7 linked regions of the Ovis aries genome follow. The protein of the gene in region 3 purifies or fractionates together with the protein of the main gene of each other region. This does not show direct contact. Links are inferred from orthologs where the notes say so. Each region holds a gene or a part of one and is shown on either strand. Other genes may lie near its edges.

What was found.
Region 1: the proteins of DCAF7 (region 3) and TROAP purify together in Homo sapiens (affinity purification with mass spectrometry; 3 studies listed by BioGRID and IntAct, counting the BioPlex papers as one, with this or other methods). This does not show direct contact. The link is inferred for Ovis aries from reciprocal best matches to the Homo sapiens genes DCAF7 and TROAP.
Region 2: the proteins of DCAF7 (region 3) and MAP3K1 purify together in Homo sapiens (affinity purification with mass spectrometry; 3 studies listed by BioGRID and IntAct, with this or other methods). This does not show direct contact. The link is inferred for Ovis aries from reciprocal best matches to the Homo sapiens genes DCAF7 and MAP3K1.
Region 4: the proteins of DCAF7 (region 3) and ZNF703 purify together in Homo sapiens (co-immunoprecipitation; 5 studies listed by BioGRID and IntAct, counting the BioPlex papers as one, with this or other methods). This does not show direct contact. The link is inferred for Ovis aries from reciprocal best matches to the Homo sapiens genes DCAF7 and ZNF703.
Region 5: the proteins of DCAF7 (region 3) and FAM53C purify together in Homo sapiens (affinity purification with mass spectrometry; 3 studies listed by BioGRID and IntAct, counting the BioPlex papers as one, with this or other methods). This does not show direct contact. The link is inferred for Ovis aries from reciprocal best matches to the Homo sapiens genes DCAF7 and FAM53C.
Region 6: the proteins of DCAF7 (region 3) and PLK1 purify together in Homo sapiens (affinity purification with mass spectrometry; 3 studies listed by BioGRID and IntAct, with this or other methods). This does not show direct contact. The link is inferred for Ovis aries from reciprocal best matches to the Homo sapiens genes DCAF7 and PLK1.
Region 7: the proteins of DCAF7 (region 3) and DIAPH1 purify together in Homo sapiens (affinity purification with mass spectrometry; 5 studies listed by BioGRID and IntAct, counting the BioPlex papers as one, with this or other methods). This does not show direct contact. The link is inferred for Ovis aries from reciprocal best matches to the Homo sapiens genes DCAF7 and DIAPH1.

What each region holds. Positions count from the first base shown.
Region 1 is NC_056056.1:136,909,220-136,912,118, reverse strand, and holds part of TROAP (tastin), read left to right. Parts: intron 1-981; coding exon 982-1,103; intron 1,104-2,231; coding exon 2,232-2,348; intron 2,349-2,454; coding exon 2,455-2,538; intron 2,539-2,641; coding exon 2,642-2,701; intron 2,702-2,899. UniProt on the Homo sapiens protein: Could be involved with bystin and trophinin in a cell adhesion molecule complex that mediates an initial attachment of the blastocyst to uterine epithelial cells at the time of the embryo implantation.
Region 2 is NC_056069.1:22,595,522-22,600,117, reverse strand, and holds the start of MAP3K1 (mitogen-activated protein kinase kinase kinase 1), read left to right. Parts: upstream 1-1,687; 5' UTR 1,688-1,712; coding exon 1,713-2,191; intron 2,192-2,456; exon of another isoform or gene 2,457-2,645; intron 2,646-2,863; exon of another isoform or gene 2,864-3,080; coding exon of another isoform or gene 3,081-3,259; intron 3,260-4,596. UniProt on the Homo sapiens protein: Component of a protein kinase signal transduction cascade. Activates the ERK and JNK kinase pathways by phosphorylation of MAP2K1 and MAP2K4. May phosphorylate the MAPK8/JNK1 kinase.
Region 3 is NC_056064.1:47,618,294-47,622,225, reverse strand, and holds part of DCAF7 (DDB1- and CUL4-associated factor 7), read right to left. Parts: intron 958-3,932; coding exon 748-957; intron 1-747. UniProt on the Homo sapiens protein: Involved in craniofacial development. Acts upstream of the EDN1 pathway and is required for formation of the upper jaw equivalent, the palatoquadrate. The activity required for EDN1 pathway function differs between the first and second arches.
Region 4 is NC_056079.1:32,067,607-32,071,982, forward strand, and holds the start of ZNF703 (zinc finger protein 703), read left to right. Parts: upstream 1-1,521; 5' UTR 1,522-1,705; coding exon 1,706-1,939; intron 1,940-2,947; coding exon 2,948-4,376. UniProt on the Homo sapiens protein: Transcriptional corepressor which does not bind directly to DNA and may regulate transcription through recruitment of histone deacetylases to gene promoters. Regulates cell adhesion, migration and proliferation.
Region 5 is NC_056058.1:47,406,566-47,411,297, forward strand, and holds the start of FAM53C (protein FAM53C), read left to right. Parts: upstream 1-1,665; 5' UTR 1,666-1,707; intron 1,708-4,583; 5' UTR 4,584-4,732. Other genes in the region: small ribosomal subunit protein eS25, read left to right, coding at 396-773.
Region 6 is NC_056077.1:21,884,789-21,888,720, reverse strand, and holds part of PLK1 (serine/threonine-protein kinase PLK1), read right to left. Parts: intron 3,010-3,932; coding exon 2,916-3,009; intron 1,665-2,915; coding exon 1,445-1,664; intron 1-1,444. UniProt on the Homo sapiens protein: Serine/threonine-protein kinase that performs several important functions throughout M phase of the cell cycle, including the regulation of centrosome maturation and spindle assembly, the removal of cohesins from chromosome arms, the inactivation of anaphase-promoting complex/cyclosome (APC/C) inhibitors, and the regulation of mitotic exit and cytokinesis.
Region 7 is NC_056058.1:50,322,604-50,326,535, reverse strand, and holds part of DIAPH1 (protein diaphanous homolog 1), read left to right. Parts: intron 1-599; coding exon 600-779; intron 780-1,548; coding exon 1,549-2,068; intron 2,069-2,105; coding exon 2,106-2,374; intron 2,375-3,238; coding exon 3,239-3,353; intron 3,354-3,854; coding exon 3,855-3,863; intron 3,864-3,932. UniProt on the Homo sapiens protein: Actin nucleation and elongation factor required for the assembly of F-actin structures, such as actin cables and stress fibers. Binds to the barbed end of the actin filament and slows down actin polymerization and depolymerization.

The sequences.
Region 1 (2,899 bases), on a different chromosome or scaffold from region 3:
CGAGAGAAAGCTCGGGAGGGCTGTGGCAGGAAGGCCAGATCAGGAGGAGGAAGAGACCTTCTTCATAGGCCAGAGGTTTGCCCGGTTGCACTTGTGTCAGAGGAGGTAGTCCCCGTTTGTATCCTCTCTCTGCCACTTCCTGCAAGATTTACTTTTGACTCACTGTCCTATCGTCAGCCCTTCAGAGCCATTACCACACCCCTAGCCCACTCAGGGTATTCAGATTAATGAGTGACTACTAATCACTGCAGATGGTGACTGCAGCCATGAAATTAAAAGACGCTTACTCCTTGGAAGAAAAGTTTTGACCAACCTAGATAGTATATTCAAAAGCAGAGACATTACTTTTGCCAACTAAGGTCCGTCTAGTCAAGGCTATGGTTTTTCCTGTGGTCATGTATGGATGTGAGAGTTGGACTGTGAAGAAGGCTGAGCACTGAAGAATTGATGCTTTTGAACTGTGGTGTCGGAGAAGACTCTTGAGGGTCCCTTGGACTGCAAGGAGATCCAACCAGTCCATTCTGAAGGAGATCAGCCCTGGGATTTCTTTGGAAGGAATGATGCTAAAGTTGAAACTCCAGTACTTTGGCCACCTCATGCGAAGTCTTGACTCATTGGAAAGACTCTGATGCTGGGAGGGACTGGGGGCAGGAGGAGAAGGGGACGACAGAGGATGAGATGGCTGGATGGCATCACGGACTCGATGGATGTGAGTCTGAGTGATCTCCGGGAGATGGTGATGGACAGGGAGGCCTGGCGTGCTGCGATTCATGAGGTCGCAAAGAGTCGGACACGACTGAGCGACTGAACTGAACTGAACTGAGATAGTGCTGGGTTCAAAGGAGTACTGGATGGGTCCCCAGCCTTGATGGTGCAGTAGTGGCTGTCAAACTGGCGTACGCTTTCTGGAGGTTGCAACACCATGTGCCAGACTTTGATGTGTGTTTCAGACACTACAGCAAATTTCCTGTCTCCTCCTAGCTTCTTCTCTCCCTGAAGGGGAACATGAAGTTGTCACTCAGTCAGATGAAGGAGGAGGCGGCCCCCTCGGCCTGGCCCAGCGGGTACCACTAAAAGAAACCCGAGATAAAACCCACACCAGGGTGAGATGGGACCCTCCTGGGATGGGGGAAGGGGCAGAGGATGTACATGAGGGATTCCCCAGCAGCACTGAGGATTGTGGGTACAGCCAAACAGTCCCTGCTTGGATCTCAGCATGTTCATTGGGTCCTTGTTTGTCCTAGATGGACCCAAGCCCTCTCCAGAGTGGCACTGGCCCCTGGAGGCCTCCAGAGGTCACAGTCTGATACATATTTAGGTCACCATCAGGTCAGTGCTGAGAGTGAGACAGATCTGACAGCTCATTCATTTCCTCCACACGCAAGGGTTTATTGACCAGCTACTGTGTGCCAAGCACTGTTCTAGATTCTGGATATACAATAGGAAATAAGTTCACATTCTAGAAGGGGAGACAGAAAATAAATAATCATATAAAATATATAGTATGTCAGATGGTTATAAATTATCTGTTAAAAAAAAAAAAGTAAGGTACTAGATTGTTAGTTGCTCAGTCATGTCCAACTGTTTGCAATTCCATGGACTACAACCTGCCAGGCTCCTCTGTCCATTGATTTTCCAGGCAAGAATACTAGAGTAGGTAGCCATGCCCTCTTCCAGGGGATCTTCCCAACCCAGGGATCGAACCTGGGTCTCCTGCATTGCAGGCAGATTTTTTACTGTCTCAGCTACGAGGGAAGCCCCCAAGATACTATAAGGGAAGGAGAACTGGAGGGAGTGGGTGGTATTGCAGTTTCAAGGGTCAAGCGAGTATCCCTGAGGTGTGGCTACGTGAAGAGCAGAAAGAGTTGAGGGAGTGAGCCCCGCAGATATCTGAGGGAAGAACGTTCCAGGACATGAGAACTTCAGATGTACACAGGGGGTCTACCTGGTATGCTTAAGGATCAGCAAAAAAGCAAGGCTAAAGCAGAATAAGAAGGAGAGGAAGTGAGAGGTTAGAGCAATGACAGGATTGGGTTGGGTAAGGGTTTGTAAACCAGCATAAGACCTTGGCTATGACTTGGAATGAGTGGAAAGCCATGGGGAGGGGGATGACCAAGGGAGGGACATGGTTTGATTAGCTCTTAAAGAATCACACTGGCTGCTGAAGTGAGAACAAGACAGGGCAGTGCCAAGTGGGAGGGATCACTCTTCCACCTGGTTCTTCTCCACAGGACGGCTGTGACTCCTGCCTGATGCCCTCCCCTGGCCAAGCAGTGCCACTTGCCATCACCCGGCCATCACCCTTTGGACGGGCTCAGCGTGTACCATCCCCTGGCCCCTCAGCTCCAGTTTGTATCTGTAGCTACCGGGGTCTGGGCAAGGGCAGAACAGTCTGGCTGGGATCCCTGCTGGGTCTCGATCTGTCCCTGCTCAGCCACCCCCGTCTCTCCCCAGATCTCATATTCAGTGTTGCGGCGTCTCGCCACCCGCCCCAAAACCCAGTTCACACCGCTCCCATCAGCCTCCAGAGTTCAGCAGGTAAGAGAGGGCAGGGGAGGTCACAGGCCTAGGCCAGGACTGGGGGAGGAAGAGGGTGATGGATGGGTGCAGGGAGAGTCATGGCATCTCACTTCTGACCCAGGCCCGAGGGTTGAGTGGCCTCTCCCCTCAACCTTGCCCTGAAGAGCCCGCCCTGCCCTGGGTAAGTATCTGAACTTCGCCATCCTGAGATACCTGATTCTGTCCTGTTGATGTCAGGCCCAGCATTTTTGAGGCAGGTGGGCTCTTAAGAAAAAGCTGCCTAACCCTCCAACTCTCCCTGCTTCTCTGTTGCCTCTTCTAATCCAAGTCTGGGGACACTCAGTTAAGGACCTGATTCCTTCCTCGTGAGGGTGGGGCT
Region 2 (4,596 bases), on a different chromosome or scaffold from region 3:
TACTGTTTGCTTTGGATGATACACTTGGCTACCATTAAAAGACTGTATAATCATAGCCTAACTGTAGACTTCAAATTTTAACAGATTTATCTAAAGTTTCAAAATTTGTACCGTTGGATGTAACTAAAACTAGCTTATGGCAGACTTCGTAGCAGTTAACACGGAGCTAATATGAAATCTGAATCCGCTTTAAAAATCGCTCGGATATCACCATCCTCCTCAGTTACCATTTATAGCCAAGAAAGAGGTTTTCATTTTATCTGTTTCCAAGAAATCAAAGGAATTATTTTGTAGACAGTTTAGACTTTTGTCTAAATGTATGAATACCGACAAGTTAGCGCTCTCCTTTCTCTTCCTGAGCAGCTCTCTCTCTCCACGACACTCCCCCACCCTACCCCCGCCTTAATTCCTGTTTCACAAAGTAAATCTAGGGACTCGGTTCCGGGCTTGAGGGAGATTTCTCAGCACTGACACACCGGCTGGAGGAAAAGAAGGGAGGGGAGAAGTAAACGCGACAGGGAAGCCAGAAGAAAGGTCTAAAATCATTAACATGTAAATGGTGCTTTTTCCATTCCAAAGCACCTTATCGCCAGACGCCCTCAGGGACTAGCAGGGTTCGTGACGCCGCGCTGGGTAGCTCGGGCTCCGCGGGGGTGGGGGCGGAGGGAACCCGACAGGCAGCCCGACCCTGCGGGGAAGAGGGACGTGCAGCCAGAGGCATAGGGCTCGGGGAGGGTCAGAACCTGGCGGAGGATGACAGCAGCCAGCACTTCCTGGTTCCTTCCCCAAACATGCTGTGGTCCTGCGTTATCTGCCTTTCCCAAAGACAGCGGAGGAAAAAAAATTTATAACGATTCACCTCGACCACCCACCCCACCCCCCCGACCCCGCTGCCCGGTCCTTTCGGTCTCCCTCTAGCTGGGGGCGGAACAGTGGGTGAAGAGGGTGTCCCAAACCTGTGATTTCAGGTTTTGAACACGATATTCCAGAAACTTCTGTTTTATTTGTAGCACGATCTGGGGGTGGGCAGAAGATGAGGAAAGCTTTTTTTATATATAAACTTGGGTTCTGGGTCCGCGGCATCACGTCAGCTGAACATTGGGTTTCTCTTGCTTTGCAGCAGGCGACCGTCCCGGGCGCCACCTGCGCGTCCCGCGCGGAGTGGAGGCGGGGGCGAGGGTAGGTAGGTCCGCGCCCGGGTTCCCCGACGCCCACTGCAACGGGCACGCGAATGACAGACTGCAGGCCCTCTGGCTTGCGCCCCCTTCAACGCACCGTCCATCAAAGCTCGAATTGCAATTCCCTTAGGGCGAGCGCCGGCCGAGCCGGGCCGAGATTGCGGCGGAGAGGAAGCGGAGCTCTGCCACCGAGGCTCCTCCTCTCGCCGGTGCAGCCCGGGACTACCTGGCGGCGCGGCGGGTGAGGCGCGCGAACCCCAGCGCGCCCCCGCAGCGGCCACCTCGGCTGCCCGCGTGCGGGGCTGAGCTAAGAGTCCGCTCCCCACCGAAACCTGCGGCCCGCCGTCCTCCCCCCACTGAACCCAGCGCGCCCGCCCGTCCGTCAGTCCCGGCCGGGCGCCCGAAGGGCCGCGCTCACGCAGTTGGCGTAGCCAGCCCTACGCTAGAGGCGCAGAGCCCGCCCCCCGCCCCCTGCACTCTCCCCGCCCCCTCCCTCCCTCGCAGGGGCCGAGCGAATGTAGCCCGCGAGAGAAAATGGCGGCGGCGGCGGGGAATCGCGCCTCGTCCTCGGGATTCCCGGGCGCCGGGGCGGCGAGCCCCGAAGCGGGCGGCGGCAGAGGGGCCCTCAAGGCGAGCAGCGCGCCCGCGGCAGCCGCGGGGCTGCTGCGGGAGGCGGGCAGTGGGGGCCGTGAGCGGGCGGACTGGAGGCGGCGGCAGCTGCGCAAAGTGCGGAGTGTGGAGCTGGACCAGCTGCCCGAGCAGCCGCTTTTCCTCGCCGCCTCGCCGCCGTCCTCCTCCACTTCCCCGTCGCCGGAGCCCCCGGACGCGGCGGCGGGCGGGAGCGGTTTCCATCCTGTGGCGGTGCCGCCGCCCCACGGAGCCGCGAGCCGCGGTGGCGCCCACCCTGCCGAGCCGGCGGCCGCACCGGACAGCGGCGCCCAGAGCCCCGCGGGGGCCGAGCCGGGGGAGAAGCGGACGCCCGCCGCCGAGCCGACTGCGGCGGCCCCGGCCGGGTAAGCAGCGCGGCCGGGGAGCGGCGGGGACTTGGGGGGCGGGCGGGCTATTGCAATGAATGAACCCCGGCATCGCGCAGGACGTCCCGGGGCTCCGCAAAGCAAGGCTGCGCGCGGCTATCCGGGACCCGAGCTCTCGGGCACCCTCTTTGACCCTTCCAGCTTCGGGCGGCGCCCCGGACCTGGCCTGGGGGACCGGACGGGGGCCCGGGGCGGGGACGTGCTGGAGAGTTTGTTATTGTTTGCAGACATGTGACAGGCGTGCGAGCCGCGCTGCTTGGACTAGTTGAGATAAGGTGTGGGGGGCCGGGCTGGCTTTGTGGGGCTCCTGGAATCGGGGCTCTCCGAGGAGCCCCGGAACGGGACCCTGGCGCTGCCCTCCGGGTCAGGCTGGAAGAGGCGAGCAGCAGTGCGGCGGCGGCGACCCCGGACCTGAGTCCCGGGGCGCGCGGGGGTGAGGCCTGAGCCTGCGGGCGGGCAGTGTAGGTGGGCGAAGCAGGTGGGCAGCCCTGCCCGAGACCGGGTTGGAGGGCCGGAGGGCGGCGGCGCAGAAAGCGGTGGGGTCCCCGGGGCGGTGACAGGCAGAGCTTCCAGGCAGGTACCGGAGGCCGGGCCGGAACGGAGGCGGCGCGCCCCGAGCGCGGCCGCAGGGGGTTCCGGGTGGACGGCTCCGTAACGCCTGTCAAAGCGGTGCAGGGTGACGGGCTGCAAGCTCTCGGGGGCTTGCGGGGTATTAGGACGGAGAGTTTTCTAATCGCGTCCCCCAAGGGACTCCTAGTGTCCTGGGGAATACAGACCGCAGCACGGAGACTTGAGTGACTTCTGTTTGGAGTTTGAATTTGGCCTTTGAAGTTTGCATTTGGCGGAGTGGTGTAAGAGCCAGGACCGGATGTGTCAGCCATTCAGTTGCAAAGCGGTAGTGCCTACTCCCCGCAGCCTCTCCGGAGTGGTTGGGGACCGCGGCGCGGGTGCGGTGCTTCCTGCTCCCTGCAGCTGCGCGGGCCGCCTCGGGATTCCAGGGGACCCAGTGCGGTGTGCTCCGGGGCCCTGGGCTGCCTGCGCGTTACGGTATGTGCAAGGTAACTCAGGCCAGCTGTTCCTGGCCTGGCTCTTTTTTGGCAACTAGAAATTTGTGTTTAAGGAAATTATTTTAAATGTGACAGCCATAGTCCTTGTTTTTGTTTGCTTTAAAATCTAACTAGTGTATGCAGAGCACAGGTTTGAGGGGTATTTTGAGTTGCTGGAAATGTTGTGATAGTCACCCGTTTCCCTGTAGGGCTTCCTGACCTTTATTCTGAATGTTTTAGAGACTGCCTTGTAGTGGTTTCCCTTGTGAAACGAATTTGACAGTAGGAATCATTGGCTTTCGTTAATTATCTGGTGATTTGGCACTTTTGGGGGCAACTTGATTCTATGTTTAAAACCGCAGTTTGTTGATTGCTACTTAGAAGTTGGCCCCTCTCTTTCCCCACCTCTCGGGGGAGGGGACCCTAAAAATGTGGTCAGCAGTGTGCCATGTTGAGAGGAACAGGGACTTGTGACTGTGCTGGTTTTCTGTGTGCACTTGTACATGTAGCTTAGTCTTACAAGGGTTATGTTTCTCTCTCTACACTACTGCTTCTTTGCAAATTGCATTAGAACTTGACTGGAATGATTCGTTGTAGGCGATTGTTACTACAAGTGAGGTCCAGTTAAAGATATTAAACCCTGAATTTGAGAGGTGAATTTTGTCTTATTCCCATGATACCAAGTTTTTGGATGCAGTAAATAATTTAGCAAGCCTCAGCATTCTAGGCATCTTAACGAGCTATGAATATAATAGAAGAGGAACCACTGTAAAATTAATGTATAGATGTTTAGTGTTGTCTCCACACAAAATAAGAGGACGAAAGTGAAAGCAGATAGAATTCAGGGAGTGAGTAATCCATGTTTAATTTTTGCATTTTATAACCTAGTTTTCCCCCTCCCCTTTTCTGAAAGGGTGGATTATAATTGCACAGTATATGAAATAATAGACTAATCGGCAAAATCATTTTTTAAAATGAATTTCGCTGGCCAGAATGCTGTTTGTTCATCCCAAATGTTATACATAAACATTTCATTTATAGTAAAATATTTATTTTCTCTACTTTTGAAATAGTGAGTTTTTTCCATATTTCCTTGTTCATGGGGTTGAAATTCATTTGAGACCGTTGGTATAAGCACTTTGACTGTAAGGAGGAAAATTGCAATTGAACTTTAGTTTTTGGATAATAGTTACATTCATACTTTAGAAGGATCATCTAACATCAAGATTTTGAAATATTTTTATGTTTCAGTAGTACTGTACATCTTTAAGACCTGTCATATTTTTTTAAAGAGAATTCCTAAAGTTTTTAAATTTCATAATTCCTCCAGTTTTTGAA
Region 3 (3,932 bases):
GCCATTTATAGTCTGTATCACAAGCCACATGGGGCTTCTAGGCTGCAGGGGAGGCGGACAGGCAGGTAACACGAATGTGAATAATCCACCATGAGCCATCAGGTGTACTCAGAATTCTGTGCCTGCTCAGCTGGGCAGATGAGAGCCCTCTCCCCTGAACCCCAAAGCAGAATCTGAAAGGTACTGGCTTCCTCAAAACACAGTTCATCACAGCGTCATGTGCACCCACAACTGACTGCTTCTGTGAAACAACAGGCTACACGGCGGCCATTTCCCCGTCTATTCACTAAGGCTGGAAGACTCTGCCCAGACGACAGAGGGAAAACTGCCTGTTTGTCTACTCGGCACCAGAAGCATGAATGATTTGGTTGACTTTTTAGATACTGCTTTTCTTGGCTCTGAGTCCAGCTCTCTATGTATTACAAGTTCTCGACACACGGCCCTTACTCTAGGTCAGGTTTTCTCAGTTTCGGCACTCCTGACATTGGGGTGGGGCAACGCTGTGCTGTGTGTTACGGGGAGTGGTCCTGGGCACCACAGGCCTCCAACTCCCAGACACTAGGAGCACCACCCCTTCTTGCACCCCCCACCCCCTCCGAAGTTGGGACAATCCAAAACGGCTCCAGGTGGATCCAAAAATCCTCTGGGGAGAAAACTGCCATCAGCTGAGAACCGCTCTCCTGGATCCACTAAGCCGGGCTGGAGCGGAGTGGCAGGGCCTAGGTTAGCCCGAAGTGGGGTTCTCACCTCCATTCCATCCATAGCCATAGTGGCCAAGTAGTTGGGGTCCTGCTTGTTCCAGCAGAGGCGCAGCAGTGGGTGATGCTGTGGGTCTTCGTAAATGATGGTGCTGTGTTCTAGGTGACGGAGGTCAAACATCCGCACCGAGCCATCAGCACCCACAGAGGCGAACATGTCCCTGCCACCCCCTGCCCGGCTAAATGCAATGTCGTAGACCTGTTGGTGAGTAAGAAGCAACTGTCAGATTCAGGTCAGTTACCTCCTTTTCATATCACAGGGAAACCTACTGTCCCCTGGTTCATCTAAACCCCTGCTCATGACTTAGAAGGAGGTAAATAAAGCCACACCACGCCTGCGAGGACTGGAAACTGAGGGTGCTAACACCAACGATTTCCCAAACAGTGACGACCATCCTACAGTGGAAGCTGGTAGGCTTCCTCTCACTTGCTGCCTTCCAAGTATTCTTCCTCCACCTCCCGCGGTAACACAGCACACACCCTGCTGACCAACAGAGCACAGATAACTCAGCAAGTATTCTATCCGGTCGGCTTGGACAGGCTCAATGAAGCCAGAACCAGTGGCTGTCTCCTGCCGCTCTGTTACGAGACTTGAGACATTTATTTCCTGGCCCTTGTGGCTTTCATCTATGTACAATCAGAGCAGTCCATGACCACAGGAAGGCTGAGGTCATCGACTGGAGAGGCAGAAGTGGCCCTCCTCTGACCACAGTTCTGCTGTGAAACCTGGACCTGAGACCCATGTGCAAGAAAGAGGTAAGAGCCCCTCTGAATCATGGGAGGCTCGGGTATTCCTTTATTTACAAAGAGGGTTAATATTGCTCTCCTAGGAAATGCTGTTTCTCCTAGTTGGTTTGTGTTCATAAGTATAACAACTTAGGTTTTGAATTATTTTCTTCTGCATTTATTCAGTTCAGTTCAGTCACTCAGTCGTGTCCGATTCTTTGCGACCCCATGAATCGCAGCACACCAGGCCTCCCTGTCCATCACCAACTCCTGGAGTTCACTCAGACTCGCGTCCATCGAGTCAGTGATGCCATCCAGCCATCTCATCCTCTGTCATCCCCTTCTCCTCCTGCCCCCAATCCCTCCCAGCATCAGAGTCTTTTGCAATGAGTCAACTCTTCGCATGCATTTATTACCTGCTGCAAACTTTGTATTGCACTAACGTCTATGAGAAAACAGGCAGAGAGCAACAGAGGGCTTCAGAGAAAGAAAGGGACAAAGAGAGACCGACAAAGCCAGAGCCAGACAAGCGGAGAGAGAAAAAAAGAAAAACAAAATGTTGAACAACAAAAAACAAAAATGCCAAACAAAACCCATCTCCTGGGGTCAAGGACTGTAAGAGCTGACTTCTGGGGAGACATGAGTGGAACCTGTCCCTCACACTGTGACTCCAGCCTTCCTGAGGTTCTACCTTCCGGGGGACACTGACTAACAAGCATCTGTTTCAAATCAACATCATAAATTGCCCTTCCTCTGGCTGACAATGAAGAAATTGCACTTCCCTCTCTACGGTGGGAACGAGGAGTGGTTCAGCAGGAAACTAGGCTGGCCATTCCAAGACCCGACAGACCTAGGCACTGGCCGGCACTGTTTATCCACACGTGCACCCACAGCTGGCGCTCTGACTCCCAGGCACAGGGACACCACGGCAGCATCACTAAGCAATAAGGTGCCCACGGGCAGTACAGCCAAGCGTGTAGAGCCACTCTGACTGCTCCTTCCTCTGTGTTCCACCCACATATTTCATCAGAAGCCAAGAGCGGGCGACAACTCCCAGACACACGCTACCCTCCTCTGCACCAACCCGCCAGCAGCAATGAGAACCTCCGAGCAAGTCTGTACTTCAACAGAGATGCGGACAGAGAAAAATCAAAGGTGCTGGGAGGTGTCATGTTTCTCTCCGGACAACCATCCTGAGGTTCATTTCTTTGAGGCCAGGGTGTTGGTTCAGGGCCTGCTGGCTGTTAAACTCGCTGTTCTTCTTGCCCAGACGCCCTCACTGCGGCCAGTGTGGCTCCTCAGCTTTACCATCATCTTTACCATCATCTGGCATCTTTACCATCATCTGGCACCCCATTCCAGTACTCTTGCCTGGAAAATCCCATGGATGGAGGAGACTGGTGGGCTGCAGTCCATGGGTTTGCTAAGAGTCGGACACGACTGAGCGACTTCACTTTCACTTTTCACTTTCATGCACTGGAGAAGGAAATGGCAACCCACTCCAGTGTTCTTGCCTGGAGAATCCCAGGGACGGGGGAGCCTGGTGGGCTGCCGTCTCTGGGGTCGCACATAGTCGGACACGACTGACGCGACTTAGCAGCAGCAGCAGCAGCAGCAGCTGTGTGAGCCATCTCCTCATTAAATCCCCTCAGGTTAAACATGCGGAGTAGCTCTAGTTTTCCGGGTTGGACCCTGACAGAGAACACATGCTAAGTGTCACAGAACCAAAATGTAGCAACTTGCTCCACTGGGTGCCAGGACGTCCTTCCTGGCGTTCCCGGCAGGTCAAGCTCTCTTTCTCTGCCCCTTGTTTCATGGTGACCCAGTCAAGCAGACTTTAACAGATCTCGGCGCTGGGAGCACAGAAAGCTGAAGGATGACCTCTCACTAAGAATGATAATCTAGTCACCAACTTCTGTGGACAACCTCACAGCTCTCACCTAATGTCTACGCATCCTTTTAATCTGTACAGACATTAACACTCCTCGCTGCACAGGAGTTGGAGGGAAAAGGAAACACTACCCACAGGAGACATCCTGTGATTTCCCTGGTGGAGGACCAGCACGTGGTGGCTCTGGGAGTTAAAAGATTTATGACCATTTTACAAAACCACTCAGAAGAAGGCTCTGTAAATACAATTAGAGCTCACTCCCTTCAGCTCTTCCAATACACATAGGAGAAACATCACCATCAAAGTTAACCATATTCAATTCCAAATAGTATTACACATATAAGTATTAAGTGAACATACTAGAAATTCATAAAACAAGTTTACAGAAGAGTTAATCAATTAGTTTTGTCTGCCAGGAAATTCCCCCTCTTCTTGCCTTCCTGCTCCCAAAAAAGTAAACATACTTCAAGGTAAGTGTTACCCTAAAATTATAAGATTATTTTTTAATCACATCAGGTCCAAGTTTGCCTCTAAGAGAGTCTGTTATTAAAAACCAG
Region 4 (4,376 bases), on a different chromosome or scaffold from region 3:
GTGCCTGGTGCCTTCTCTACTGAGCATCGTAAAGACTGCCATTTGTTATTTCTGTGATACTCGTTTCTGTTGGAAGAACGCCTTTGAAATCGTCTCTGCCCTTCTGGGGATCTCAAGGCGTTGATCAATGAGCAGCAGAGTCAGGGACCGGCAGTCCCGGAACAATATGCCCCGAGTGACAGGCCCGACAATCCGAGTGACAGATGCGGGCTGGGAGAGGGGTGCTCAGAGCAGGGCAGTGACACCAGCGCGCCTCCACTGGCCGCCGAGAGAACCGGGAAAGGGTTCTCCCCAAAGGCCTGCGTACAAAGGGCCAACTTCACCCTCTGATCAGCGGACGGGGAACTCTAACGCCAGGACAGGGACTATGTGAAATCTCTGTCGGGTGCGAAGCTGGCAATGCATACTTTATCTGAAAGGCACGGGAGGAAGGAGACAGGGGGATACTGTTATTTTCATTTAAAAGTTTTTAACTCCGAAATTCCCTTGGGAAAACCTAGGGCATCTTCCCCCTCGAGAAGAAAAGGGGGGCGGGGCGTGGAGGGGCCGAATCTCTGGCGCTTACAACGACGTGCAGTGTTTACAGAGACCCGCCTCTTCTAGGATGCAAACCCCTCCACGTCCCTACCCACCCGCTACCCCTGAAACAGCAGTCAGGCGCGGTGCCATGAGAGAATTGTGTGCCCTTAAGCAGCACGCCGTAAGAAACCCGGAACACACCCAAGCATCGAACCTATAAATCGGTGCGCAGGCACCGGGCGCCAGGCGCGTCCCGGCGGCGTGCACCACAAGCGGTGACCGCGCCTTATCGAGACCATCTCACCCCGGAAGGGGAGTCCTCAAACTTGCAGGTTGCGGACAGGGCTGGCTCAAAGTTGCTGGAGCGGTTTTCGCCGCGTCGCAAGAACCGTGGCTGCCTCCGAGGTTCGGGCGCTTCCTAGTGAGCACACCCGGGAGGAAGCCAATTGGGGGGGAAAGAGCTGAAAACCCGAGCCGAGCTGGGGTTCTGGAGGAGCGGCCCGCCCCCAGGCGGCCTCCGGGAGCGGCTGGGACTTGGCAGTCCCGGAGCCGGCCGCCAGGGGCTCCTACCCCATCCCCCAGCCCACCCAATTCACCCCACCCCAGAGACACATGGACTGCGGGTGACCTGTCCCCCTTCCCCGACCAGCACCACCCCACCCCACCCCAGCCGTGCGAAGGGAGAGAGCGCAGAGCGACAGGAAAGCCCGCGGAGGGCAGGGCGCAGAGCCCAGGGTCCCCGGGGAAGCCCTGATCTCGCCGGGACGCCGGGGCCCGGGCCGGCCCGGTTGGGGGCAGGGGAGGAGGCCGGCGGTGGGGCCAGGCCGCGGCGCGGCGGCTAGCGGGCGCGGCCCCTTTAAGGTTCTCCCCGCCCACCGGCTGCGCCGGGCGCTCTCCCCGCCCCGGGGTCCCGGCGAGATCGGCGATTGGGCGGGCGCGGCGATCCCTTTGAAGTGTGGCTGCCGATCGCGGCTATTTGACGTGCGGCTCGCGGAAGGCGAAGGTTTTTGTGTTGCTCGCCGGGGCCAGCGGCGGCGGCGGCGGCGGCGGAGGAGGAGGAGGGGTGGAGACGCGGCGACCGCTGCAGCGCACTCGGAGCTGCGGAGCGAGCCCACCCGCCCCGGGAGCTCGCCTCCCCGGTGCGCCCCCGCCCTCCCCGCCCCCCCAGCGGCGCTGCCTCCTCCAAATGAGCGATTCGCCCGCTGGATCTAACCCAAGGACACCCGAGAGCAGCGGCAGCGGCAGCGGCGGCGGCGGGAAGAGGCCGGCGGCGGTGTCCCTCTTGCCCCCGGCGGACCCCTTGCGCCAGGCGAACCGGCTCCCCATCCGGGTCCTGAAGATGCTGAGCGCTCACACCGGCCACCTCCTGCACCCGGAGTACCTGCAGCCGCTGTCCTCCACGCCCGTGAGCCCCATCGAGGTCAGTCCCCTGGTCGCTGCCCGCCGAGCGCCCGCCCCATTCCGCCCACCACTGCCCGGCTCCCTGTGCCCCGCGGCTCGGTGCGACGCTCGGGTCCGGCCCCAGTGGCCGACGGAGTGAGAGGAGGGACGGAGATACAGAGGGATCGGAGCCCACTGGGTTCTCTCCTCCGGGCTTCTCCCCGGGGGAGAAGGTTCCCCTTCCACGCTCGCCCTTCGGAGCTTCGCGTTTCCTCTCTCGGATTGGATTTGCTCTTGGAGTGTCCACTGGGCCCTTTACTTTTCCTCGGCACCCAGTCCCCAGGCCATAGAGTCTGTCTCCTGGGCTTTTTTCGGCCCCCCCCCCCCCCCACCCCCACCTCTCCACCCAGGTTTGTTCTCTTTGAAGCCCGATCGCCCCCCTCCCTCCCCGTCCCACTCCGCTTCTGCCCCATCCGGTTGGAGCGCACGACGCCCGGGCACTCCCGACCCCGGCTCCTTCTTTCTCCCGCTCCCCTGGGGGCCCTCCCCGGGAGGGAAGGGGGCTCCGAAGAGAGCGCCTGCGGCCGCCCAGGCTCAAGCTCCAGCTTCTCCCCTGCTCCCACCCCGCGGCGACACCGCCAGAAACCCGTCCCAAGCGAAGTTCCCCAAACTGAAGGCATAAGTTTTTAACCCAGGCCTAGAGAGGAGGAGGAGATGAGAGAGCAGGGGGCGAGTCACGGCCCCTCCCCCAGCCCCGACTCCAGAGAAGTCACCTTCCCCCGGGATGGTCTTCGGTGGACGCCTTCCACGGCCCGTTCCCCAGGGCCTGCGGCGCCCTCCGGGACCCGGGGCAGCGAAGGATCCCACCACTACCAACGCGCAGTGTAAGCGCAGTTGCGCTCAGCCCCCGCGCTCGCAGCAGGTCTCCCCGAGGCCCTCCTTTCCCATCTCACCCACCCTGCCCCCCAGGTAAACCCCCTCCCCCCGGCCGCTCCGTGGGTCCCTGGTCTCATCCCCTTCTCCCTCCCCTTGCCGCTGTCTCCCACAGCTGGACGCCAAGAAGAGTCCTTTGGCGTTGCTGGCCCAGACTTGCTCGCAGATCGGCAAGCCGGACCCGCCGCCCTCGTCCAAGCTCAACTCGGTAGCGGCGGCCAACGGGCTGGGAGCGGAGAAGGACCCCGGCCGCTCGGCCTCGGGCGCCGCCTCGGCCTCTGCGGCACTCAAGCAGCTGGGGGACTCCCCGGCCGAAGACAAGTCCAGCTTCAAGCCCTATTCCAAGGGTTCCGGGGGCGGCGACTCCCGCAAGGACAGCGGCTCCTCCTCTGTGTCCTCCAGCTCCTCCAGCTCCTCCTCCTTGTCCCCGGGAGACAAGGCGGGCTTCAGGGTGCCCAGCGCCGCCTGCACGCCCTTCCCCCCGCATGGAGCGCCGGTCTCCGCGCCGTCGTCCTCGTCCTCCCCTGGCGGTTCCCGGGGCGGCTCCCCGCACCACTCTGACTGCAAGACCGGGGCCAGCGGGGAGCTGGACAAGAAAGACCAGGAGTCCAAGCCCAGCCCGGAGCCGGCGGCCGTGAGCCGTGGCAGCAGCGGGGACCCCGGCCCGCACGGCGGTGGCGGCGGCGGCGAGCCCGGGGCCTCCGGGCGCAAGTCGGAGCCGCCCTCCGCGCTGGTGGGGGCCGGCCACGTGGCACCGGTGTCGCCCTACAAGCCGGGCCACTCGGTGTTCCCCCTGCCTCCCTCCAGCATCGGCTACCACGGCTCCATCGTGGGTGCCTACGCCGGCTACCCGTCTCAGTTCGTGCCTGGCCTGGATCCCAGCAAGTCTGGCCTCGTGGGAGGCCAGCTGTCGGGGGGCCTGGGCTTGCCGCCGGGCAAGCCCCCCAGCTCCAGCCCGCTCACCGGGGCCTCCCCGCCGTCCTTCCTGCAGGGATTATGCCGAGACCCGTACTGCCTGGGAGGTTACCACGGCGCCTCGCACCTCGGCGGCTCGGGCTGCTCCACGTGCAGCGCGCACGACCCGGCCGGGCCCGGCCTGAAGGCGGGGGGCTACCCGCTAGTGTACCCGGGGCACCCGTTGCAGCCGGCCGCGCTCTCGTCCAGCGCCGCCCAGGCGGCTCTCCCCGGCCACCCGCTCTACACCTACGGCTTCATGCTGCAGAACGAACCGCTGCCGCACAGCTGCAACTGGGTGGCGGCCAGTGGGCCGTGCGACAAGCGCTTCGCCACCTCGGAGGAGCTGCTCAGCCACCTGCGGACTCACACGGCCCTGCCCGGCGCCGAGAAACTTCTGGCCGCCTACCCGGGGGCCTCGGGCCTGGGCAGCGCCGCCGCAGCCGCTGCGGCCGCTGCCTCCTGCCACCTGCACCTGCCCCCGCCCGCCGCCCCCGGCAGCCCGGGGTCGCTGTCCTTGAGGAGTCCACACACTTTGGGGCTAAGCCGGTACCACCCGTACGGCAAGAGCCACTTGTCCACAGCCGGGG
Region 5 (4,732 bases), on a different chromosome or scaffold from region 3:
GTCCCACAAAAAGATCATAATACGAAGGCATTGTTTAAAACCTCTCCTTTTCCCATGTTTTACCCTCTGTCTAAACCTTCTTTGATAGCTGATACTCAAATTTACTTAAGAGCCAGAAACCACCTAGCTGTTTCACAGCCTCTTCACCTATCAACTGCTACATTCAGTCTCTTCAAAAAGGACTTAAACTTTGGCTGAGTAGGAGGTACTGGTAGCGATGGAGACTTAATAAAAGGTGATTTTCTCTTCCTGAAGAGGAAATATAGCACTATCAATATCTTTTCCCCCAGCGACCTGTTTCCTCCCTCCCAGAAAGGTTTAAAGAAAGTGGTCCAGCTTTTTGTCCGACATCTTAGCGAGGCGGCAGTGGTTGCAGCTGCTCTCCGGGCTTCGCTATGCCGCCCAAGGACGACAAGAAGAAGAAAGATGCCGGAAAGTCGGCCAAGAAAGACAAAGATCCAGTGAACAAATCTGGGGGCAAGGCCAAAAAGAAGAAGTGGTCCAAAGGCAAAGTTCGGGACAAGCTCAATAACCTAGTCTTGTTTGACAAAGCAACATATGACAAACTCTGTAAAGAAGTTCCCAACTATAAACTTATAACTCCAGCTGTGGTCTCTGAGAGACTGAAGATTCGTGGTTCCCTGGCCAGAGCAGCCCTTCAGGAACTCCTTAGTAAAGGACTTATTAAACTGGTTTCAAAGCACAGAGCTCAAGTGATTTACACCAGAAACACCAAGGGTGGAGATGCCCCAGCTGCTGGTGAAGATGCATGAACAGGTCCCACCAGCTGTACATTTTGAAAAATAAAACTTTATTAAATCAAAAAAAAAAAAAAAGAAAGTGGTCCAGCTGTAACCACCGTACTTTCCCTTCTCCCCCCTCCCCCACGCAAGCAACTGAACCGCCTATGATGTCATAATCACAATCCCATTACCTCATCCTGCTGGGGGTGGGGGCATAAAGAGAGGAGAAGGAGTGAACAGCCCTGGGCCCTCGTCGGATTTACAGTATTTTGAGTGACAGCTAACTACACAAACAAGTGGGAACGGCCCGCAACCGTTACAGGTCCTGGGTTTATAAGGTTCGAGCCGATCCGGCAGCTGGAAGAGGGGCTCCTGGGACTCAGAGCAGGCCCTAATCGGAGCTTGGACTACGCCTCCCAGAAGCCTTCACGACGCGGACGGGTCCTCTGCTGGGGGAAGGGGAATTCCTTCAGAGCGGAGGCCTTAGAGAGTGGGGGCAGGAGAACAGGTGAGAGGAACCCTGGCTAATTCCATTACGCTGCCGGAATCGAGTTGGGGGCTGTACATGGGCTGATGTAGTAACAGAGGGCGGGAGCAATGGCTTTGTTTACCTTCGACCAACACGGCCTCCCCCGCGAGTTTCGAGATTTGCGTTCGACTGGCCCAGTCCACCTTCCGCAATATTCTGTAGGGGGTGACTTCCTAGGGAGGAAACCACCCTCATCGCTAAATTAAAAAGCCCGGCCTCTTTCCGACGGCGCTATCCAAGAGAGACTTTGCGAGAAAAACGACGCGGGGCTCAAGCCTCCGCGGACGGTTCAGGGGGGGTTCTCCCAACCCGAGCGATCGCTCCACTCTCCTCAGGGACCCGTTGGTTCACGCCGGCGCCTTTTAAGGGCACCGTGGGGCGAACCGAGCGCTCAGAGCTGCTCCGGCCGCGGCCCTGGGAACTGGAGGAGCCGCGGTAGGTGGCGGAGGGCAGGTGGCGCTGGGGCCTCGGGGCGGGCACCTAGACCGTCCCTCCCTCCTTCCCTCTTTCCCCTCCCCCAGCCCGTCCGCCCGCGAGGCAGGGCCTCGCTGGCCGCCTCCGCGGGGAGAGCACGGGACCCGGTGGGGGAGGGGGTGGCGGAGTGTTAAGTCCCAGACCCTCTCGTCCCCTGTGTCCTGAGTTCGCTTCCCCGCGGCCAGATGATGGGAGCTGATTGGGAACAGGCGAGCGACAGCCCCCCTGAGCGTGCCGTGGCGCCCTCCCCCCCCACCCCAAGGGGCTAGCGGACGCCCCATGCCCCACCCCGCGGGGACGGGCAGAGCAACCGATGGAGAGGTTGAAGATTGGAGAGGGGGGCCTAGCCTTTTGCTTCTTCATTGGGGTGGGGGGAGGGGTGCTCCCACTTGTCACTCCTATGCCCACCGGTGCCATATGGAGAAAAAGCACTCAGGTCCCCACATACCTGTTCGTGTGCCTCTCTGCCTCATGTTTTTCTTCAGTCTCCCCCAGAGTGTGGGACTGGGACCTAGGGGGAAGGTCTCCAGGGGCTTTTGACTCTCTTCTTCCTTGGCCTGACTTGATCCTAGGTTATCCAGGTTTCAGCACAACCTCAGCATCCCTGAAACCCTTATGTCAGGGGTTACTGCCACCCAGTGGGGTGGGGGTCCAACCTTTATTTGAGGGACAGGTGATGGTGCAGAGAAAGCCTGGATTGAGAGTTGGGCCTGGTGGGGTTTGAGGGAGGGCCTAGCGGCCTGCTGCTCTGTGTTGGGCTTAGCCCCATGCCAGTTGTTAAGCTGAGAAGTTTTAACTTGTTTAGTGAACGTTCAGGGCTGTCTGTGCCCCTCAGATACACAAAATGGAAGGGGAAGGAAGACGGCAAGAGAGGGCTTCTTACTCTTTTTTCTCTGCCTGCCTGAGAAAGAGGAGGCCCCTCGCGGAGCTGGTTTGCCTTCTTTTGTGTCCTGGTTTGATTCCTTATGGCTTCCGTTCTGTTCCCCCTCTCAGCCTGGCCTGTTTTAGGAAACTCAGACTGAAAGTATCAGTTGCGTGGTGGTAGTTGCATTGTTCTAATTACCGCCGTGTGTGGCCACATCCCAACAATTAAAATGCAGAAAAACACAAAATCACTCTCTTGATCCCAGAGAGGGCTGGAAGTTTGCTATTTGGCCAAATGCCTCATGAAAACCTTGAAAGAGTTTGCTTCATTCCGTGCTCCTCATGGCTGGTCAGCCTGAGGCCTGGGGTCTCTGGGGGTAAAAGCCTGCCTTAGGTTTCCTCTCTGGTTGGTCTTTGAGGGCAGAGTTAAGAAACCAAGAGCAGAAGTGATACAAGCTTTAGCTTCTACAAGAATGGGGGAAGCAGCCGAAGGGAGCGCTCAAGAGCGCTCAGGAAACTGGGACTTCAGGGTGGTAATAATAATTATGCATGAAAACATTATTTGACTATAGTGGTGGTTGACTTCTGCCTCTTTTTTGCCTAAACTCCAAGTACATCGAAGTGTGTTTCTTTGCTTTTCCTTGTGGTCTGCCTCCCTCTGAGGTGGAAATCTAGTAGAGAGGATTTCCCCCCCTCCACCTTTTTTTTTGGCCAGGGTTGAAAGTTATCTGCCCTCAAGGTCAAGCCTTTTGGGCTTTTCTTGGCATGTGAGTGAGGGAGGTTGATACTCAGCCAAATAAATCAACCCAATTGCCTTCTTCATCTTAATATTATCACTTGTAGCACCCTGAGGCTTTGTAGAGCAACAAATAGGAAGGGTGAGAAATGGCAGTCTGTGTGGACTTCTGATTTGTTCAGGCCAAGTGGTATACTTCTTATGTTTTGATATTTTGCATTACATTATCCCTGTGACAGATTAAGATTATTCTGCCCGTTTTTCATATGGGTAAACTGAGGGAAAGAAAAGTTTGATGATTTGCCAAGACCATCACAGCAAATCGGATCCAGATTTGATGTCTTGATAGTTTGTTCTCTCTGCTAGCAAATGCTACTTACTCTGTCTGATTGCTGTCTGCCTGCTGGTCATTTCTGGGAATAGGCAGAACAGTATGGAAATGTTAGATTAACTTCCCCTCCTCCGTTGATTGAGGTCCCTCAGGCAATTGTGTGGGCTTGAAGCCTGTTTTCTGATAGAATTAGTTTGCTTCTACTGTAATTGACCGTGAGAAAGAGTCTTGATTAATTGTATTCATGGTCTTTGAGTCAAATCAGGCTAAAAACTTAGTTGAATGAAGTTAGAGTTGTTGTTTTTAACACCTATAGAGTTGAAATGTGAATGGAATTACCCTGGTAGCATTTTCTTGTCTTCATATAAGAGAATATGTACAGTATCTGTTGGAGAACAATAATGTAATATCCGCTGTTGAGGGTGAAGGAGAATATAATACCTTGTTTACTCTGCTTTGAAGTAGAAAGTCATTCCTACAGCCACTGCACTGTTGCTATTTCTGTAGTTTAGGAAAAGGCTACCTCTCCTTGCTTTTGACTGGAAGATAAAATATTGGACTAATCAAGAAGGATATAACAATGTGGGCATTTCTCTCATTTGAGCTGTTTTCTAAGTGGTGCTGGTATTTTGGGTAGGCAGAGCAGAGCATGAACCAGGTTAGGAGTGGCAAATAGGTTTCAACTTGCTTGCTAACTCCATTTTATTATACTGGTTATCCGGAGTGCCAAGTTGAGACTGTTTCCGAGGCTATGTTTAGGCTTAGCCGGAAAGAGCTGTGATCAGTTAATGATGTGTGCCAGAGGCCTGACATAGGGATGCTGGGGTATGTGTGCCATGCATTTTCCATCTCTGGAGTAGGTACATCTCTAATATCACTTGGGGCTGATCCATCTGTAATTGGCAGACTCAGCAGGCATGACTGGAAAGGGAAGTCCCAATGGTGCTAGAATGGTGCTGCAGTGGCAGAAGACAGCTCATGAGTGAGGTCTGGAAGAACAACAGGGAAGACATCCATCATTTGCTCCAAAGTGTGCAAGTCAAATCCTGGGGAGA
Region 6 (3,932 bases), on a different chromosome or scaffold from region 3:
GTGACAGCTCTTCCTTACAGAAGAAGTTTGATTAACAGATGTAGAAGGAACAAGAAAAGGGGAAAAATCACCATTAGAATACCACAGCAATAACTGCTGTTGTATCCACCATGGATGCTGACATCAGTGAGCTAAAGTCTGAGTAGTATTCTCTCAGAGAAGCTCCCCATGGGGTATAAATTAATCACCGAAGGAAAAACAGTAGCTATGCACTGGAGGCACCACCTTAACCAAGTGATCACCAATCAAAGGAAATATTCATATAACCAAAGAAAGTATCAAAAATTAAAGCAAAAAGAAAAAGGTAATCCTTAAAACAGCAGTGTCAAAACTGAAATGAACTCATAAAGTTGTGCTATATCCACACAGAGAAATAAAGTATTTCAAGTGGCTTTTCTTGGGGTTTTTCTGTGTGTGTGTGTGTGTGTGTGTGTAATGTAGTCTAAGGACAAAAAGAATTGCATGGAAATAAACATAGTTTCATAACATACTTTATATATGTTGAAAATTCATGTATACCGTGTAAGCAAACAAGGTTTTCATTGTAAGAGAAAAAGAAATACAAGCATAAAATTAAAGATCCTATAATATTAAATTAGACCCTTACAAATTACCAAAAGAGAATTAAAGTAGTAATTTCACAGTGGAGAAAAAGACTGCTGTAAGACCAGTTTGCACCAATTTCAATTTCCTGAACTTGATAACTAGGTCCTGTGTCGTGGTTAGGTAAAAGAATTGTTTTTAGGAAATATACACTGAAGTACTAAGTAGTAAAGGCCAGAATGTGTACAACTTACTATCATGTTGTTTGGGACAAAAACAATACACACACATACACACACATATAATGAGAGATCCCCACCCCAGTTATGTATTTTCTAATTCTGCTCTCTGAAGAGACCTAGAAACAACGACAAACCAAGCAATGAGATGTGGTTTTGTAAGAAAATGTCTATCCTTTTAGAGAGATGCGTACGGAAGTTCTTGGGGGTAAAATGGCAAGATGTCTGGAATTAACTTCAAAAATACTTCAAAGGAACAAACAAGGAGCTATGAAGCAAACACTACAAATCTTAGCAAGTGTTGACTCTGGCGGTGATGTGGGTCCCACGCACATTGTGCTCCATGTGTGTATCTGAAGCTTCTCAACATTTTTTCCAATGAACCATGCAGGGCAATATCAACGATTTAAAAAATATATATTAAGAATTATTCAGGCATGGCATTTAGCCACTCTCTTCTCTCCGGACATGACAGGTCTGACTCAGTCACAGTAAGGTCTGTCTTCCCTGACAGGGCTATGGGGAAAGGCATTTGCCACATAAGGATGGGGACCATGGATTCAAAGACTGGGGCCCATCCTACTGCACACCTGAGCTTTGGGGACCATCCATTCACACACAGAGGCAGGCAAGGCTGTTTGTCTACCCACACTCTGGTTTACCTTTATTGAGGATGGTGAGAGGCTTCCGGTTGCTGGGGTCCAGGCTACTGGGAGCAATTGAAAACCTCGGTGGAATGGTGAGGCAGGTGATGGGGAGGCGGGCAGGGATATAGCCGGAAGTGAAAAACTCGTCATTGAGCAGCTCGTGAATGGTTGGACGGGCACTGGGATCTGGCTGAAGCATCTTCTTGATGAGAGAGGAGGCCACGGGGTTGATGTGCTGGAGGGAAGGTGGGGAGTCATAAGCAGGATATGACACAGGACCAACCCAGCTGCTGCACCACCACCCACTACCCGGCCCCAAATACACCATGTTCAGTGGCTATAAACGTCCCAAGTTTCCACTGGCAGCTTTACTAAGTTGACAAGTTGCTCACCACTAGAACAGCACTTGAAAACAAAGGCTTGGAAGTCATAAAGGCCTGGTGTAAGTCCCAGTTCTGTCCCTCAGCACCAGCTGTGCCAACCAACCCAACTTTCTGGGCCTTTGTATCTTCATCTATAAAGTGGGGACACAGCACCAAGCTTGGAGCCCTGGCAAGGAGACCCAACCCAGGGTAGGTCAAATGCACAGTAAAGCCTAGCATCAACTTTGTACTTACTATCTACCAGCAAAATATTGTAAGCACTTCGTGTAGATGAACTCACTTAACCCTCAGAGAAACACCCAAGGACTGAAGCTCTCTAGTACCATCCCTCTTTAGCAGATGAGGAAATAGGCACAGAGAAGTCAAGTGCCTAAGATACATCCCGAGTGAGTGGTGGAGCCAGCACCCACACCGAGGCAGTCAGGTGCAACCCCCACACTGGGAACCGCTCTACTCGGCCCAATAATTGACCCTCTGTAACGGATTCAGCCCATCCATCCTGATGGAGACAGGGCTCTTGGCTTCACATAAGACAAAGATGCCAAACTGTGGAAGCAGCTGTGTGCCAGACTGCTGCCAACTATCCCTCTCAATGCACTCTTGCTGGGGGCTGCAAAAGCACGCCACTTCGCCTTCACGGTGGTTCGAGATTCTGTGAGCGCTCGCTGTGTGCAAGATGCTCTGGGGCAGGGACTCCACTTTACAGATGGGAAACTGCAGCTCAGAAGACTCAGGCCATTTGTCCATTGTGATCTGGCTAAAAAGTGGCAGAGCCCATCTGAACCAAGACAGTCCACAGCCAGGCTAAGCAGCACTTCTCCGTCTGCCCCTACTCTGGCTCTTTCTCTCTGTTTTTCACGTCTTTTGGGTTATCTCCCCAACGGATGAAAGCCTGCAAACTCTCATCCCAAGAAAAACTGTTTCTGTACACATACATCAGCCTCTGTATGCAATTTCAGACAGGACCCTCTAAAGCTGTTACACTTACCCATGGGGTGGCACTGACCCATCTCTTTCCCCCGGAAATGGCTGGGCTCTGTAAATCACTTGGTGGGGGAGGGAATTAAATAAAACAAATGTAAACTTAAAGTGGTTTTAGTCACCTTGGGAATACTGTATTCATTGTTCTTGATCCGGAGGTAGGTCTCTTTTAGGCAAGAGGTCTCAAAAGGTGGCTTGCCCACTAACAAGGTATACCTGTAAGCACAAGGAGGGATTTGGCTCAAGGCTCCCAACCAAAACCCAGATGCAGGGAGGAATCCTCTCAGGGCCAGAAAGGAAGTCAGACATCTTTTGGGCATTCACTGTGACTCTGGGGCCCCAGAGGACAATTCACAAGTTCACTAAGCAGCCCCAGGAGCCACGACACTGGCAGGGAGGTACCCTCAGTAGAATACAGGTGATGAAACTGGGTTCTAATGGACCAGTGACTTTTTAGCTATAGCCTGCGGTAATCTAGGGGCCAGAGGCTGCCAGCTAACATGGAACAGGTCCAAGCAGGGGTCACTTTCCTTGAGGCAGCCCCACAGTTAATAGTTCTGTACTTTAGGCTGCAAGTTTTCATGTGGGAAATTCCAAGGCAAAGAAGTAGGAAAGCCATTTCTAACTCTCCAGTATCCAGGGAAACAACAAAAGGGGTAACACCTGAACAGGCCCAACTCTCTGCCCACCACCCACCTCTGATGGCCTTGACCCAGACAGACCACAGGACCTCCTCCTGCCAGCACCACTCCTGGCCTAATTCTTCCCACCCAATGCTGCTTTTTAGATCAGTGGTTCTAATACTTTATTGTGCATAGAAATCACTCAAGGGTCTTAATACAGATTGTGATCCAGTTAGTCTGGGTCTTGAGATTCTGCGTAACAAGTTCCTACGTGATGCTGCAGCTGGTCTGCCGTACTTTGAATAGCAAGGGATTAGAGCAAGTTTGTGGAGACATTCCCTCCCTCATTCCCTGAACCCACAGCCCAGGCTGCAGGAATCCTACAGGATATACCAATTCAGCAATGAGGGTTCCTTCAGAGACCATCTGTCCTCTGGAACAGTCTTTCCAAAGGCGGAAAGGTCTGCAGGATAAAGCCTGCCAAGTGAGATGTCCAGAAAGCCCCTTGCTGAGACT
Region 7 (3,932 bases), on a different chromosome or scaffold from region 3:
TGATATTTTGGAAGCGTTCAGCACACAGTAGCAGTTCCTTGGGGAAACCTTTCTGGTATAGGTTACTCAGTGGAGAAAGTGTGATCGTGGTATAGATGTGATCATGAAGAGCTGGTCAGTTGTGAGTTTGCACAGTTCATGGGCCCCCGAGCAGGAGGAAGACAGGTGGCACTCTCATATAATGTTGTCAGCACTTGGGTTTGCTTGATGTCTCAGGCCTCTTAGCCATAGAATAATAGGAACTGGAATATGTCTGAATTCTTTTTCTCTTTGATTAAGGGCTCCTATTGTTGATAACTCTGATCCTTGAGACTGTTGGCATTGTGCACCTTAGCTGCCCTGGTTAAATGTCCTTAAAATCTTGGTGGCGGTGGCTTTTTTTTAAAACCACTCCCAATTATAGATAGTCTGTGGAAATAATCCCTGGCTTCCCCCTCCTTTAACCTTGATTTTAAGGTCAAAATCATGGTGGCCTGTTTTCCTAGGCATTCCTTGGGTCAGTGAGCTCAACAGATAAAGGATTAACACAAAACAGTAAATTATGGGGAATAACACTGGGCTTTTGCTGAGAGGGAGAACCTGATTTCTTTCTCTTCTAGCTGGACTCTGAGTTAACAGCTCGGCATGAGCTCCAGGTGGAAATGAAAAAGATGGAAAGTGACTTTGAGCAGAAGCTCCAGGATATTCAGGGAGAAAAGGATTCATTGGATTCTGAAAAGCAAAAAATTGCCACAGAGAAGCAGGACCTGGAAGCAGAAGTGTCTCAGCTCACAGGAGAGGTAATGTCCCAACAGGGAAGGCAGAGTGACCTGTGACTGCCATCAGCAGCTTCAGGGTGAGCCTGTGTGGGAGCAGGACTCTGTCATCTCACAACTTGGAAGAGTTCAGTTACTAATAGGTAATCTAGTTAGGTGATGCATATTCTTTAAATCATGAACTGTTTTGGGAATAAGTAATACATAAGATAGACAATTTGGAGAATACATAACACAAAGAATAAAATGAGTCACAGAACTACTCAGAGATAAAGATAATATTTCTAGTAATTTAGAAATATTTTAGTACCTTTAGGAGTAAATACTAAATAAACTGTTCTGTTTACTAATTTTTTCTTACTTTAGTCATCTCTGGACAGATCTATGCCTACATACTCTCTCTGCAGTTATAGATATTTATATGATCTGTGATACCTGATAACTTGATCACTTTATGTGGTTATAGTACTACATTTATAACACATGTTAATTATATAACTAGAATATTTAGTTTGCTTGATCTTTGCAATTTCTCATCAAAGGGAGAATTTAACATAAACTTTGAAGTTGCCTTCTTAATGCAAAGCATACTGAACTAAGAACATGAATACCTGAATTCTAGTTTTGTCTCTGTTGCTAAGTAGCTCTGTGACTTTAGGTGGAGCCTATCAACTCACTGTTTTCACTCCCTTCATGTGTAAAATGAGAAGTTTGGATCAAGTAATTTCTTAGGTTCTTTCCAGTGGTCCCTGAAGTGGAATGAGACATATTCCTCTTGGTGGTATTTCCACAGGTCGCCAAGCTGTCCAAGGAACTGGAAGATGCCAAGAAAGAAGTGGCTTCTCTCTCTGCTGCAGTTACTGCTGTAGCCCCTCCTAGCAGTGCTACTGTTACCCCTGCCCCTTCTTTACCTGGCGACTCTGGGCCCGTTATACCCCCCTTATCAGTCCCCACACCCCCTCTTCCTGAGGCCAGTGTCAGTCTTCCTCCACCACCTCCTGCTCCTCCTCTACCTGGGTGTGCTTTCATCTCCCCACCTGGGGGTCCTAGCATCCCCCCTCCTCCCCCTTTGCCTGGAGGTGGTGGCATCCTCCCACCTCCTCCTGCCCCTTTGCCTGGAGGTCCTGGCATCCCCCCACCTCCTCCCCTTCCTGGAGGTCCTGGCATCCCCCCACCCCCTCCTCCCCTGCCTGGAGGTCCTGGCCTCCCCCCACCCCCTCCTCCCCTGCCTGGAGGTCCTGGCCTCCCCCCACCCCCTCCTCCCCTGCCTGGAGGTCCTGGCCTCCCCCCACCCCCTCCTCCCCTGCCTGGAGGTCCTGGCATCCCCCCCCCCTCCTCCCCTGCCTGGAGGTCCTGGCATCCCCCCACCCCCTCCTCCCCTGCCTGGAGGTCCTGGTCTTCCCCCACCCCCTCCTCCCTTGCCTGGAGGACCAGGAATGCTACCTCCCCCTCCCCCTCTTCCTGGTGGAATCCCTCCACCCCCTCCATTTCCTGGAGGCCCTGGCATTCCTCCACCTCTCCCTTTTGGAGTTCCTGCAGCCCCAGTTCTGCCATTTGGATTAACCCCAAAGAAACTTTACAAGCCAGAGGTGCAGCTCCGGAGGCCAAACTGGTCCAAGGTGAGAATTTCTGTCCGTCTCTTCATTAGTAGATTAAGAAAAAAAACCCTTCAGCTTCCTACCTTGTGTTTTGTGCATGGTTGGACTTCCCTTTCTTATGGTTCACGTCTGTGTGTCTTCAAGTTCCACTCATGCATATGTTTATTCAGCAGATAATAGACATACCCTACATGCCAGATATCACTTGGGAGAGTTCTTGGAGCCTGTACTCTGCTAGAAAACCTAAACTTATCCTACAGTTAATGTTTTTTGCCCTTTTTACTGAGGATATGAGTGCCATGATACTGCATAGTTTGATAATAGTCATTTCACTGATCTGCAAGGTACTGATAATTTTACTCATCCAAAAGTCATAGATTTATGGATACAGCCCCCTACCACCTCTGCCCATCCAGTAAATGAGTTACACAGGATATGATTGCACAGGTATGGTATGTATTTGAGACCCTTACGATTCTATATCAGTCCTTTGCTTTTGGAAACCAAGTGAAAATAAAGGAACTTGTTCATAAAATGAACGAATTTGGTACATTTAGCCACATTGATGGGGAAAGTGTAATGTAAAGCAAGGGAAGATGTAAAATAAAGCCTTATTGCTTCTAAAAGTAGAGGATTTGGGGTTAGAAGGAGGATAAGCAGCATATCTGAGTCTAGTTTCTGAATAAACGCCACTAAGCACACAAGCTGGAATCATCATCTGGTCCACCACAAAGAGCATAGCTGTTCTCTGTGCCCCAGGTTAGTCTCACTCTAGTAAGATGTTGATAGCACAGCCAGCTGCTGCTTTTGCATCTCAGTCAGTTTTCTAGGATGGGAAGTACAGAGCTCGGCTTAGTAACTCTTAACACCTGCCTGTATCTACAGTTTGTCGCTGAGGACCTTTCCCAGGACTGCTTCTGGACAAAGGTGAAGGAGGACCGATTTGAGAACAGTGAACTTTTCGCCAAACTTACCAGTACCTTTTCTGCCCAGACCAAGAGTGAGTCCTTTCCTCTTTCTGGCAAAGGGCCAGACTAGGACTTAGAAGGTTCTTTAAGGTGGTCTCCCATTTCTTTCCCTTCCCTGGTTGAGGACTGAAGAGAGCTGGTGGGGGAGGTTTCTTATTCAGAAGAAAGTAAGCTTGGTTTTGTATTCTGGGGATGCTGGAGTTGGCAAAGAGAACTGTTGCACGTAGGTGTTTTGTCCCCAGTTTTTGTACATATAGGTATTTTATGTCAGTGGAGCATGTGGGGGTGTGAGATTAACATCAGAGAGCTCAGGCTGGGCCCATCTTGAAAGGATTCTGGCACTGCCTTTAAGGCGCCACCATCAAACCTATATACGTAGTTGATCAGAGTTGGGCAGGGTCCTTAGTATTAGTAGGTCAGGTGGCTGAGCAACTGTCTTTGTATAATAACAAAGAACCATACGTGATCCCTTTTTTTTTCCATTTCTTTCCAATATCTGATGCTTTCTCCTTCCTGGCCATTTGCTCCTGCAGCTTCAAAAGGTAAGAGTACTGAAGAGCCATGTAGTTGGGTCTCTTGAATATCAGAGAAAACAGTGAAACAGATGTAAA